Linked DNA regions of Oryzias latipes. The protein of the gene in region 2 interacts with the protein of the main gene of each other region in a pairwise test. Links are inferred from orthologs where the notes say so. Each region holds a gene or a part of one and is shown on either strand. Other genes may lie near its edges. The genes, in order: ap1g1, ap1b1 and kif13a.

What was found.
Region 1: the proteins of ap1b1 (region 2) and ap1g1 interact in a two-hybrid assay, tested with the Homo sapiens proteins (2 studies listed by BioGRID, with this or other methods). The link is inferred for Oryzias latipes from reciprocal best matches to the Homo sapiens genes AP1B1 and AP1G1.
Region 3: the proteins of ap1b1 (region 2) and kif13a interact in binary tests that used the Homo sapiens proteins (3 or more experiments, as listed by UniProt). The link is inferred for Oryzias latipes from reciprocal best matches to the Homo sapiens genes AP1B1 and KIF13A.

The regions. Positions count from the first base shown.
Region 1 is NC_019861.2:21,119,635-21,123,809, reverse strand, and holds the start of ap1g1 (AP-1 complex subunit gamma-1), read left to right. Parts: upstream 1-1,236; 5' UTR 1,237-1,338; intron 1,339-4,175. UniProt on the Homo sapiens protein: Subunit of clathrin-associated adaptor protein complex 1 that plays a role in protein sorting in the late-Golgi/trans-Golgi network (TGN) and/or endosomes.
Region 2 is NC_019867.2:12,650,085-12,653,734, forward strand, and holds part of ap1b1 (AP-1 complex subunit beta-1), read right to left. Parts: intron 2,076-3,650; coding exon 1,830-2,075; intron 1,651-1,829; coding exon 1,460-1,650; intron 1,358-1,459; coding exon 1,136-1,357; intron 1,025-1,135; coding exon 904-1,024; intron 807-903; coding exon 711-806; intron 302-710; coding exon 186-301; intron 1-185. UniProt on the Homo sapiens protein: Subunit of clathrin-associated adaptor protein complex 1 that plays a role in protein sorting in the late-Golgi/trans-Golgi network (TGN) and/or endosomes.
Region 3 is NC_019874.2:16,425,334-16,429,766, forward strand, and holds the start of kif13a (kinesin-like protein KIF13A), read right to left. Parts: upstream 2,904-4,433; 5' UTR 2,330-2,903; coding exon 2,275-2,329; intron 2,089-2,274; coding exon 1,995-2,088; intron 1-1,994. Other genes in the region: E3 ubiquitin-protein ligase NHLRC1, read right to left, coding at 4,413-4,433. UniProt on the Homo sapiens protein: Plus end-directed microtubule-dependent motor protein involved in intracellular transport and regulating various processes such as mannose-6-phosphate receptor (M6PR) transport to the plasma membrane, endosomal sorting during melanosome biogenesis and cytokinesis.

The DNA.
Region 1 (4,175 bases), on a different chromosome or scaffold from region 2:
TGATTTCTTTTTAAATTAGCGTACTATATGTATGTTAGAAAAAACGTGAAAATTTATTGAACTCATACTTTGTTTGTTTAGTTATTTGCTTTTAATAAAACAAATACTATCATTTTTTCCATCCAGGATAAAGGCAAATTAGTCCAAAGTGTTATTTATTGATGTTTAAGTTTTAATCCCTCATATGTTGCTTTGCAAAATATGTAATTCGTCTTATTGAAGTTCAACTCCCGACACCTGTGGGAGACCCAAAAAATAACCTTAACAACAAGGACATGTTAGTCATGCATACATGTACAACCATCTTGAATAAAAAGATGTATACCGTAATTAAAATGTTTTTGCTTTAAATCACTTTTACCAACACTTAAATGTAGCATCAAAAATATAAAATGAAGCATTTATGAGAGCCAAATTCCATTTTAAATGATATTTTAATGCATATCAATTTAATCCAAATTCTCTCTTTAAATAATTGTTACATTGAATTTCAAACCTAATCTTTATTTATAAACTAAATATACTAAGTATAATTAAACCTTTGCATGGTTTTGGTCAATTGAACAAAAACAAAACAAGTCTAAATTGGTATCTCATCAAAAAATAAATTATTGTTTTAGATCAAACCTCAAGAGGATCCTCTTAAGAGGACAAGAGACACCGCTAGGTGGCGCTTTAATTTACGGTACCACTGAACTCTCACATTGCATGCAGTCGTCATCACTGTATGCCACGAGTAAACTGACCGCAGCACGCCTTCGAGACGGACAGTGTACTCATCCGCAAGGTTAAAGGATAATATTCTATCTCAACAAAAGAAACCTCGCCTTGTCATTTAACACATGTTTCATGTAAAATGTCAGACAACGCATCTCAGTGTAACCAGGAATCCAATCTCAAATAAATACGTTTCGAAACCTTTTCAAAAAGATAATCGAGAACCAGATGGTTAAAGAAAACAACAGGCTCTATTGCTAGCGCTTTATAATAACGGGAACAGACCGAGCGTGCATTGTAGAAAACTGATCAAATAGAATAATTGATTTAATATTACAAAAGACCAATAGTGACATAACGGAACTATTACCCATGGTGTCCTGTAAACAGAGCTGTATCAGGTGTAATCTCGGTCACAGTGGTGACTTCTCTGCTTCCAGCCGTTCCTGCGATGATGACAAACTTGAGCTGAACGCCTTTTACCATCCTCTGAGAGTGTAACCCTCCGCCTGCGGTAGATGTACTGAGGCTGGAGTAGCCACCATTTTGCATGTCTAGTGTGTTCCTCCCTCCATCGCTAATAGAGACGAGTCCAGTCCTTTTCTGGCGTCATTACGGCTAGTAAGTACTTTGAAACAATAACATATCGACAGAAATGTGATAAAATGTAATTTTCTTAAACAAAAAACATTACGCGTGTGTTCGTGTCTGCGTTGTTATCTCAGAGAGAGTGCCACTGCATAGGAAGTTGCAGCGCTCAGTGCGCCGGGGCAGTGCCTGTCAGTAAGCTAAGTTAGCTACCATGTAGAGCAGTGCTAGGTATCTACGGGCTTAGCTATGCAGAATTCCCAAGTGTTTTGTGAAATATTTATTGTGACAGCACCTAACGATGACTGTGTAGTTAATATTTCCACTACTGGACCACAGCTCTTGTCCTGTAACTTATACACTAGTTAACAGCGAACTGTCAGGTAGCGAGCTGACGGTAGTACAGGGGGCTAGCTAGCTAGTTTGTAATCCAAATGTTCCACGAAGGCCTAAACGCATCATGTCCTCTTCACTTGGTGAACTCAGTCAGGTGTCGTAGCTCGAGGTTAAACAAAACCACTTTTCTAATTATTTTGTATGTTCATGTTGTTAATATTAACTTCTTGCATTTTATCAAAAAGCGTGAGTAAGCGGTAAAGCCTCTGTTGTTGCTAAGGATGTCCAAACATGATCCCTTTCGAGTAAAATGGGCACTTTTTGTAAAGCTACTTTTTACTCAGTTGTTGTGCCTCGTCGTTAAGATACTTGACAGTTTGCTGGAGCTTTAGATGTGGTTTTTAAATATTTAAAAACTTTAAAATGTCGAGTCAAGTTAGCTTTTGACATCCAGGAAGCTATAGCTCACTAAAGACGTGAATTTGTTTTTATAATGTTTACAAAACAGTTGGTGTCATTGAAGCGTCTTCCTTAGTAGATTTCTGTAATGAAACATCTAATTAATTTCCATTATAGCACTTGTTGCTCAGGACTGGTTAACGTTAAGGAAGTCGAGGTATAAGTAGGAAGTGCGCTACGAGTGTGACGTTCTGCGTATCGACGTGTCTGCTGGGTTGTCTTTAGTGTTAATGTTTCTGTTGACCAGGACCAACACACCTTTCAGGAGTTCAGGGGCCTCTTGGCGTAGGTGAGGATAGGCTTACAATCATACTATAAATTAATTATTGGTTTACAATAATTGTTAATTAACATTTGGGGTTTGTTTTTCTCAACTCTTTCGTATTAAATGGTCAGTGAAAAATATTGAGTGTCTTGCCTTTTTACTTTAGGTCTGAGGCCTTAGTAACCACCAACACAAAGTATAAAAAATCCATTTTGTATTTTCAAGTTCAAAGGAAGTTTATGCATGTTAAGCAGCTTTGAATAGATGGAGTTAAAGGCCCTCTCCTGTTAAAATTGTTGGTGTTTTTAACATGTTCCCGTGGCATTGTTCTCATGATGGAGTACATATATGCATACATAGAAAATTAAGCTAAAAATAGAATTTCTGTGCATTTCTTTATTCAAATTGTTGTGAATCAAGAGCAGAAGAAAAAATGCACTTGGAAGAAGCTGTGACATAAGTCCCCTGTTCAGCTTTATTCTGATGCATCTACTTGTAGACTAATGGATCCAAATAGATTGGCATCTGGCGCAAAACTAAACAGCTGGATATCTCCGATATTGCTCGCCATTTTTGTTTCACCGTTAATGTTACGTTGGTGCTGTGAGGTACTGTACTAGGGAACCAGTGGGAGAGCACGTAAATAGATGATGGGAAGTAAGGGAAAGATTACAGCATGGCAATAGTCCCACCCACAACTCAGAGGTAATTTTCTAATGAGCAACAGATTACTAAGTAGTGAGTTAATAAGGGAAACTCCTTTAATGCTGAACTGTTTTGTTAGATGGATCAAATCTGTATATAAATGAATGGATTTGACCTTTTTAAATGCAAAGTTATCCCAATTTAATAAATGCTACTTGGCAAGTATTGAATCATTAAGATCCCAGATAAGTCCTGTTTTATTTGAGCTTTTGTTTGGGGCTGCTTCCCGATTGTTTTACTGCTCCTGTCACTAATGCAGTATTTTGTAGACTGGAAGAAGTGGCTAAAGATCTGCTGAACATATTGTGCATTTGCTTGGCTAATATAAGACTAGCAAAATAAAATGTCTGGGACCAAATGTAGTTTTGTTTAATGCAGATTTCCTCTTAACAAAGTTGCAAAGCATTATGGCCACCATTAATCCACATTATCTTGTTACTTTAGCCATTAGGACACAACTCCAATGTCCCCTCCTGTGACACACCCACATTAGCCAACTCCTCTGTTTTGCATTCAATCTGAAAGGGTTGTTCTTTTCACCCAGGGACATGGGGGTTGGTCATGCGTCTATCTTGGATTGCAATCTCCCCGAATTCATTGAAAACAAAATAAAATCCAAAATATATTTTTCATCCTGATTCTGTCCCTAAAACATGTCATGTCATGTGATTGACCATATTTCTCATCTCTAGAAGTGCTCATCCTGCAGTTTAAAATAATAAATCAGTCACTTCTTGGACAGATCTGAAAGCACAGTTTCATGAAAAGTTGAGCCACTTTTTGACAGGACACAAATAAAAACACCCAGCAGAATCTGTCGTGTGCTCTCTTAGGAATGGGGTCAGTAATTTTTTTAGGTGAAAATAATCTGCAGTGTCATGATTATTTATTAGCTCCAGCAACATGACAGCCAGGCTGATAGGATCATTTCTGCTGAGTCTGTGATTAGAACTGCAAGAGAGGCCTTCAAATAAAAAAAGGTTTTAGATTCACATAAACAAAAGTATGACCTCAACAGAAGTCTGAAATTGACAAGAGAGCAAAGTCTTCAGAGATGCCTTTTGTTTAACAGCCCACTTGAAGCTCATCCTTAGCTTTTGTGGAA
Region 2 (3,650 bases):
AGCTTATCTTCTGACCATTTCCAAACCCTTAAAAGTGTCAAACACACATTTTTTCTTCTGGAGCAGAAATAACTGGTCAATTTACAAACATTAAAACAACATTTAGTATTTTTCAGATTTTAAACATGCAAATGAGGTAATGAAGATTTATTAGAATGTTTATATTTGTTGCAGAAAACTCTTACTTGTTGGGGTATTTGCGGAATATGTCTTTGATAACCACAATGGCCTCCTGTACCACGTAGTTGACCTTGGTCTGGATCAGGTCTAGCAGGGTGCTGACACAGCGCTCTGCTGATTGCTAGAGTACAATGGGGGAAAAAGTCTGAGCTTTATAGCTTGAGACAAAAATACAGACTAAGAGAAAATCTTTTGTGTAGAAAAATGCATAAACATTTAAAAATGTGTTAATATCATAGTTTAACAGATTAAAAACAAACATCTACTGCATAAATATTTACTTTAAGGTAGGAAAATGACAACAGAATTATTATTTTTTTTTGTTTTTAGCAGTTTACTGCAAACTTTGAACTACAGAAGATACATGACTTAAATGCTTAAACGTCTTTTAGAAACAGAGCCACCTGGTGTCTGAATCGGCACTTAACTTACTTTTACTTTACTTAAAAAGAACGTTAGTGTGTGTGCGTGTTGGAAAGGTAAATATATTTTTGACAAAGTAATGACTATCATGCATCATCTCCGCCCACCTCCACTTTGATGGCACAGCGGCCGATGGCCCTGACGGCTTTGCGAACAAAGTCCACATCCACCTCAGTGGCATACTCTTTTAACTCAGCCAGAACCTAAAGAGAGAAAAACACCTCTGTTACGTACCAGATCTAGATTCTCCAGAAGCACCGTCTGATTTTATTTTTTAACTATTGAAGCAAAGTGTGTTACTTGAGCTATGTTGGCTTGAGATGCAAGACGGATCATTATGTCCAGCTTCTCCAATTTGACATAAATGGGGTCGTTGTACTTTACGAAGAAAACTTTCATTTCGTGCTTCATTATCTCCGGCCTTAAAGACAAAAATGGTTAATTGGGTGTGTAGCCTAAATATGGCAGATTCCAAACAACATGTCTAAGCAGTTAAAGAAGTCTTGGATGCAAGAGCTTTTCTAAAACTTACCGCCTCTGGACAATGAGGTTGATATTTCGAAGTGCCACATACTGCAACTCAGGCTCAGCAGACAATAGTGTGACCAGAGGAGGGGCCAGCTTCTTCAGTAGAGTGCCATAATAGTCCAAGTCTTTTGGCAGCATTTCCATGAACTTCATTAAAACTTTCACTGCTGACAACACAACTGCTGAGTTGGCATGAGACAGCCTTGGGGTGACTCGCTCACAGATGCTGGCAGATTAGAATGGGAAATGAGAGGGACAGTGAGGAAATAACCTTTCAATGTAAGCAAACCGACATCCAGGATAAATACTGTCAAGATTATTCATGTACCTTTGGGACTCACGATCATCACGGGGTGTGTAATTGGCCAGGCAGTCTAAAATAAATATCTGTCCCCACTCTGTGCATTCGTTAAGAGCTGTAAGTAACTTGTTTATAGTCTGAGGGTTCAGATCCAGAAGATTACTGTTGGGATGAGACTCTGCGATCTCCGAAAGAGCTGCAACTGCATTTGCTACAACCTAAAGACAAACCAAACACAAGTAAATGTTATATAAACACTTTCTTTTTCCTAAGCAAGGAATTTACACAAAGACATGTTGAAAAATGATCAAGGAAATGGAGTTGAGGTTTCTCTAAAAAGAGAAGAGTAGGAAATCTGCCAAATGTAACTACAAGCAGGTACATACAGACAGCATACCATGGGATTGGAGTCAGAGATGAGATCTTTCAGGGTGTCCAGGAAACCTTGATCCTCCACCAGCTGGGCATTAATATCATGGAGCTTTGCTACACACACAGCAGCTGTCTTCCTCACATAAGGGTCTTCATCCTTCAGACATTTTCTCAGAGGTTCACACAGATACTCCGTGATCTTGTCCACGCGAATGCAACCCATCGTACGAACAGCAAGCGCTCGAATGAGAGGGTTAGGGTCTTCACAGTCCTAAACGGTGAAAGTAATCGCATATGAAAACATTCTTAAATGCAGTTCATTGAAGATACTTCCACGTAGCATTTTCCTGAATCATAAAACGCTGCATAAACACAAAAATCTCAAACTTGAAGGAATTTTCTCCAGACTGATGACAGAAATCAGGAAGGTTAACCAGTGACTGATAACGTTGCTCTTCATTTTAATGATTCAAAAAAGCTACATACTACAGGGCTCCAGACTGCGACCATTTGGTCGCATTTTGCGACCAAAATTTGAGAGTGTGCGACTGAATTTTACATCCAGTCGCACATGTGCGACCAGTAAATTTGCCTCCCCCACCCTCCATATTTTTTATACATTAAAAAATATCCGTGCTGAACTTTTCTCTGGGACCCGTAGGTTACGGGGGTTACGGTTAAGCGCGCGGCGTCGCATCCCCCCAACCAAACGGTTTATGCACGGCTGTTACGGCAGCACACCGCTCCAGCGGGAGTCGGGTCAGCTGAGGAGAATAAATGTCCCACACCTACATGCGTGACAGCTAACAGAGCTTGAACTTTAAACACGTGCGAGCAACAACACGGTTTAGTCCGAGACGCACTTAAAACACGCGGTGAAAATGCAAGGATAGACGTGTTTGAGATGAATGGCTGATGGCGAATCTGCAGCGAGACTGAAGGAGAACAGGAAGTTGAAGTTCAATTCAGTTCAATTTAGTTTTAATATTCCTCTCCCCTTTAGTATGATCTGTGTTATTATATATTTTATATTTATTTGAATGTTTTGTAATGGATGTAGCCTATTTTTAATCAATTGGTATTTTAAATTATTTCAATTTCTCATTTAACTACAAAAACCATCAGGACACATGTCCCTTAATGCATTGTTTTGTAGTTAAAGGGCAGCTTTCAGTCAGTTCAGTACTAAATTTCCAGCTGCGTTCGGTAGGTTGGGGCCTTGCTGCTCCCGCCCCTTTCTCCTGATATTTTTGTGATGATTGACATGTGATGTTGGAGCAAAAACAAAAATATATGTAACACACCAGGGGCCTCATTTATAAAACTTTGCGTAGGATTTGCGTCAGAAGTGGCGTACGGATGAAACATAGGACGTGCGTACGCACAGAAATATTCAGATTTATAAAACCGTGCGCACGCACATCCTACGCATCTTTCCCTTAATAAATCAGAACCAATTCTAAATGCAGCGCAGCTTTTGCGGCCTCATGACACGCCCATAGTTGCCCATAAATAGTCCGTGAAACGCCCACAAATGAATATTCATTGATTGCGAAACCATGGCACACACCGAGAGGTAATGAAAAAAACGTAACTTCACTCAATGTGAAGTAGAATTTATCGTTGGCGAGGTGGAAAAGAGGAGAAAAGTGATATATGATGGGCACAGTGTGGGCATTACTAATGCCGAAAAGCCACGTGAGTGGCAGACGCCGTTAATGCTGTAGCCTCACAACCTAGGACCGTGGTTAAATAAAAAAGAAATGGTCGGACATCAAAGTCGAGGCAAAAAAAAGTCTGGCGCTGCATCGCCAGCAGAGTGTGTCTGCAACGGGGGGGGGACACC
Region 3 (4,433 bases), on a different chromosome or scaffold from region 2:
ATGACCATTCTCTTAGATTGTCTGCGTGCCTGTGGATATCAGGTCAGGTGTGCAATCATGTGTAAAAATAACAAAAAGGGGGCTAAATTACATTGCAGCTTTTGGCGGCAAAAAAAACCCCATCTCTGACTGATGCTAACAGGCAGAACATTTACAAGCATTCAGTCGTCACTAAAATACATGCTGTGCAATCACCCCATTACAATAGGAAAGAATGTTTGCAGAAAAAGACGTCCAGTGAGCTCCAGTGTGGTATTTGTTTCAGTAAAGATTTTCCCATCACTGTCAGCAATGTCGGCTGTAAAGAAAACAAATTGATCGCTTGATGGTACATAGAATGTAACACTACTATAATATGATATAATATTGTAAACACAGGACATTTACACAATTACAGAAAGGATGGAGATGAAGCAGAAAGCAGAAAAGATGTCCACATTGGCAGTGACTGTCAATTATGTGTCGGGTTTAAGGACCCGTTTCTAATTTGATTCAAAAACAAAACATTGTATTTGTAATACAGTGGTCCATAGCTGTATCGTTGTTCACCCTATGCGGTCTTGCTGATTTATTTTCAATACAATTTTGCATGCTTTTATTTTTGAACAGCACACTTTGTTCTGCGTCCTGATTGGTTGTAGACCTTATCAACTAACCTCCTCCATGCCATGTGTCAAGACTATTAAGTTTATATATACAGTCAATGCCAAAGTTTAGTTTCCCAAATCTATAAATCTTCAATCGCGAGCAGATCTTTTTTTTCATTATATAACAGCATATTGGACTTATTTTTCTAAAAACGTTTAAATCTTCTATAAAATCTTCATGTCTGTCTGAGAAAAGAGAGTAGTTAACGTTTTTTACAGCAACAAAACATTTGCAATTCTATTTCATCCATTCACCTATCGCAGATTATTTTTAGAACATAAACGCTTCAATAAACGAGGGACCCCTGTATTGACTTAAAGTGCCTCCAGACTAAATCAGTATTAACCTACAACATTCATTAGGCATTTAAACACTGCCTATGAGGGCAAACCATCAAACAATGTTTAATTCAAACCTTGTACCAATCTACAGACTTCCTATTTGTATTAAATAGAGAACTTCCAATAAAAAAAGCTTTATTTCATAATAATGAGCTCTGTCATTCTGACTCCATTAACTTGGAAGGCTACGTTCAGCAGATGTGACAATGCAATCGCCATATCAGCAGTGATGGCACTGCTTTTGTCTAAAAAAAAAAAAAAAGCTTCTTCATCGATCTTCTTTGTTCTCTGTTCTTAAATTTCTTGTTTCCAACCATATCTACCGGAGAGAAAAGCTGCTTTCCCTTTTAAACTTCTGCTAAAAAGTTCATATCTGTTCATCTACACACCAACCCCTTCCAGTAGATCTATGGAAAGATCTCTCCACTTCATAGTTTGGATTTCACTCTGACATTTCGAGACCTTTGGCAGACAGGTATGTGCTTTTCCTATATAGGACAAAAGTCATGAGTGGGGTCAGTGGTGGGTTTGTGGAGACTCCTAAAAAAAATATTGATCTGAAAAGGAACCAGAGCCCTGCACAGACACACTCAAAGGTAGAGCACACATAGCAGAGAAGTTATGGCTCATTATCATTACAGCAATTGGTATTGGAAAATTTGTATAAATTATAGCTTGGTGCCATGTGCAAAATGCAGTGCAATAGAATATTCCTGCTGGACCATATTCTGTGACTGTCAAGAAGGAGACGTCCACCCTCCAGAGAAAACCACCTACAGACAATTGAGTTTGATTGGTGGTGATTTGCTCATCTGGAGTGCTACAGTTGCTGTACGACAGATTACCTTTCATTAGAGAACTAACCCTGTGTTTTTCCTGCCCTTCCACTGACATTTATACCCAAGTGTCAAGATGAACTCGCGCTGACTCAACATTTCTCGCCTCACGTGTGTGACTGTGAGCCTAACTGGATTTGACGAATACAGTGGAGTCGGCCTCGGTTACCTGCTGTTCTCTCCTTTCGCGTTGGAGGGTGGAGGGTGCAGGACGGTTTGGTTGTCCTCCATATCCACGACACATTTAGTGTTCAATTCAATCTCTGCAGAGATAAGATTATTATTATTATTATTATTATTTATTAAGGGGGGAGGGGTGTTTGAGGGATTATTTTGTGAAAACCGCGCACGAGCGACACTTCCATCGTTTCAAAACTCAAAGCAACAATGACGAAGAAAGGGGAAAAAAGTTGAAGTGTAAATGTGAGCGCGCGAGGAGATATACTTACCCCTGCGGTTCATGGGCCGAACTCTCACCGCAACTTTTACCTTTGTATCCGACATTTTCGTCCACTTTTTTTTTTTTTACTCCCACCCGTCTGTCTGAGAGCTCAGAGTGCAGTCTGTGAATCCCCGACAAGAAGAACAAGCCCGGGCTTCTGCCGGCGAAAGGGGCAGCAGACGCGAGTCAAAAATGTCCCGAAATGCTCCAGACTTCTTCGAGGCGAAGACATGGAAATAAGTTCCGTTCCCCGCTCTCCTCTAAATCCATCCGAGTTGGCCTCTTGTGCCTCTGAAGCCCTCCGCTCCAGCGCCAGACAGCATCTCCACCGCCATCTTCCGCTGGGAGCAACGACTGCTCTCCTCTGGCACACGGGGGAGGCTGCGGCTCTCAGGGGGGAGAGAGGGTGGACGGGCCGCGCCGCTCATCAGGAGGAAAACATCAACGAGCGTTAATGTTGGTCTGTGACAGACTGCTCCACATCCAGCAGCAATGAATGTGGCGGACGAATCCAATGCTGAGGCGAACTTCAGTGACTGAGTCAAGAAGCTTTCTGGTGCTAAAACTTTTTTAGGGTTTCATCACGAGATCCACAGTGGAGAGTGACTAAACTAAACACCCTCTGGAAATTTTTTGGACATGGCACCTTTAAGCCTGGAAACGTAAAAAAAAAAAGACTAAAATTTGAATTTAACTCTTTACTTTCTTATGGAAATCTGCATGATCCAGTCGTTTGTTCTCCAATAAGCAATCTCATAAATCCATATAAACACAGTATTTGTTTTTTTTAACTTAATATCAAAAATAATAAGACAAAATTTACAATACTACATTTTTTTCCAAGCTGCAAGTTTTCAACAATTATTATACTTTTTTTTTTTTTTTTTTAGAAATAAAGTTATTTAACCACTTTTTTCTACATTTTAAAGACCAACACCAATAACAATTATGTTTATGGTGTTTTTAACATGTTCTCTTGTGGCATTTTTTTCATGATGCCGGACATACATAGACATATTTAAAGAAAATTAGGCTTTTCTTAGTATTTCTTTAATCAAATCATTGAAGCTGGATGGTTCAGTTGTAGGACTGGTGCATGGGAAATCATTGTGTAGCCACAGGAGCAGTCCCCAACCCAGATGAAATACAGTCAGGAAGGGCTTCCGGCATTAAAAATCTCTGCCAAACCACTTGTGGGAATTAGTGAAAGCTGATTTACTGTGGCAACCTCTGAAAGGATTTGCCTAAGGGTGAACAACAACAACTTTATTCAAATTGTTGTGAATCAGAAGCAGACAAAAAAATGCAGTTGGAAAACGGCATGTTGTCATGATGTAGGTGCTACAAATGGTAGGTCACAAGCCCCATTCTCCGCACCATTGGGATGTATCCACTTGCAGACAAATAGATCTATGACTATCTTCCTTTTCCTTCATGGCATCTGGCTCAAAACGGTTTGGCTGGATAGCTGCAAAATTGCTCACCATTTTTGCAGCACCAGTAATGTTAGATTGGGGGATGTTGCTGGGATGTAAGCTAACATGAGAAAGTGTAAACAGAAGGATGTCTGTTTAATTAGAGGCAAATTCTAAGGATCTACCATCGCTCTATGTCCTAGAAAATGACCGTTTTTTTTTTTTCATTTTGCCTAAAAACTCAATAATTGTAAATAAAAGACTACTTGGAAAGCTTTTACAATAGATCTAAAGAGGATTGGAGTGGGAATAATTTTTATTTCTGCATACATTTTATAACGGTTTAGAATTCAAAAAACTGCATACATTCCTAGCTAACTACATCCACACACCCAACACTGTCATGTTTGGCATATAATACTGATGACTCCCTTTAATGCCTTACAAATATTACTTATTTCCCAGTGGTGGAGGTCTTTTTAAGCTTAAAGTTATAACAAATGCACGAACTACAAAGATACTGGACAAATCTCATCCGGGAAAAATCTATCCAAATTTTGACAAATCATCAATTTAACTAATAAGAACCAATGGCGACATGTGTAAGAGAAAGACATCAGAAATGTGTTCTGAGATCCACTTGGTCAGTGGTACAGTAGATCCCGCATAGTATTGCTCTAATGAAAAATGGGTCTGGGTTCAGATCTAACATGTTTTGTAAGCATATGCTTTATTCAGGTTTATTAGAGAA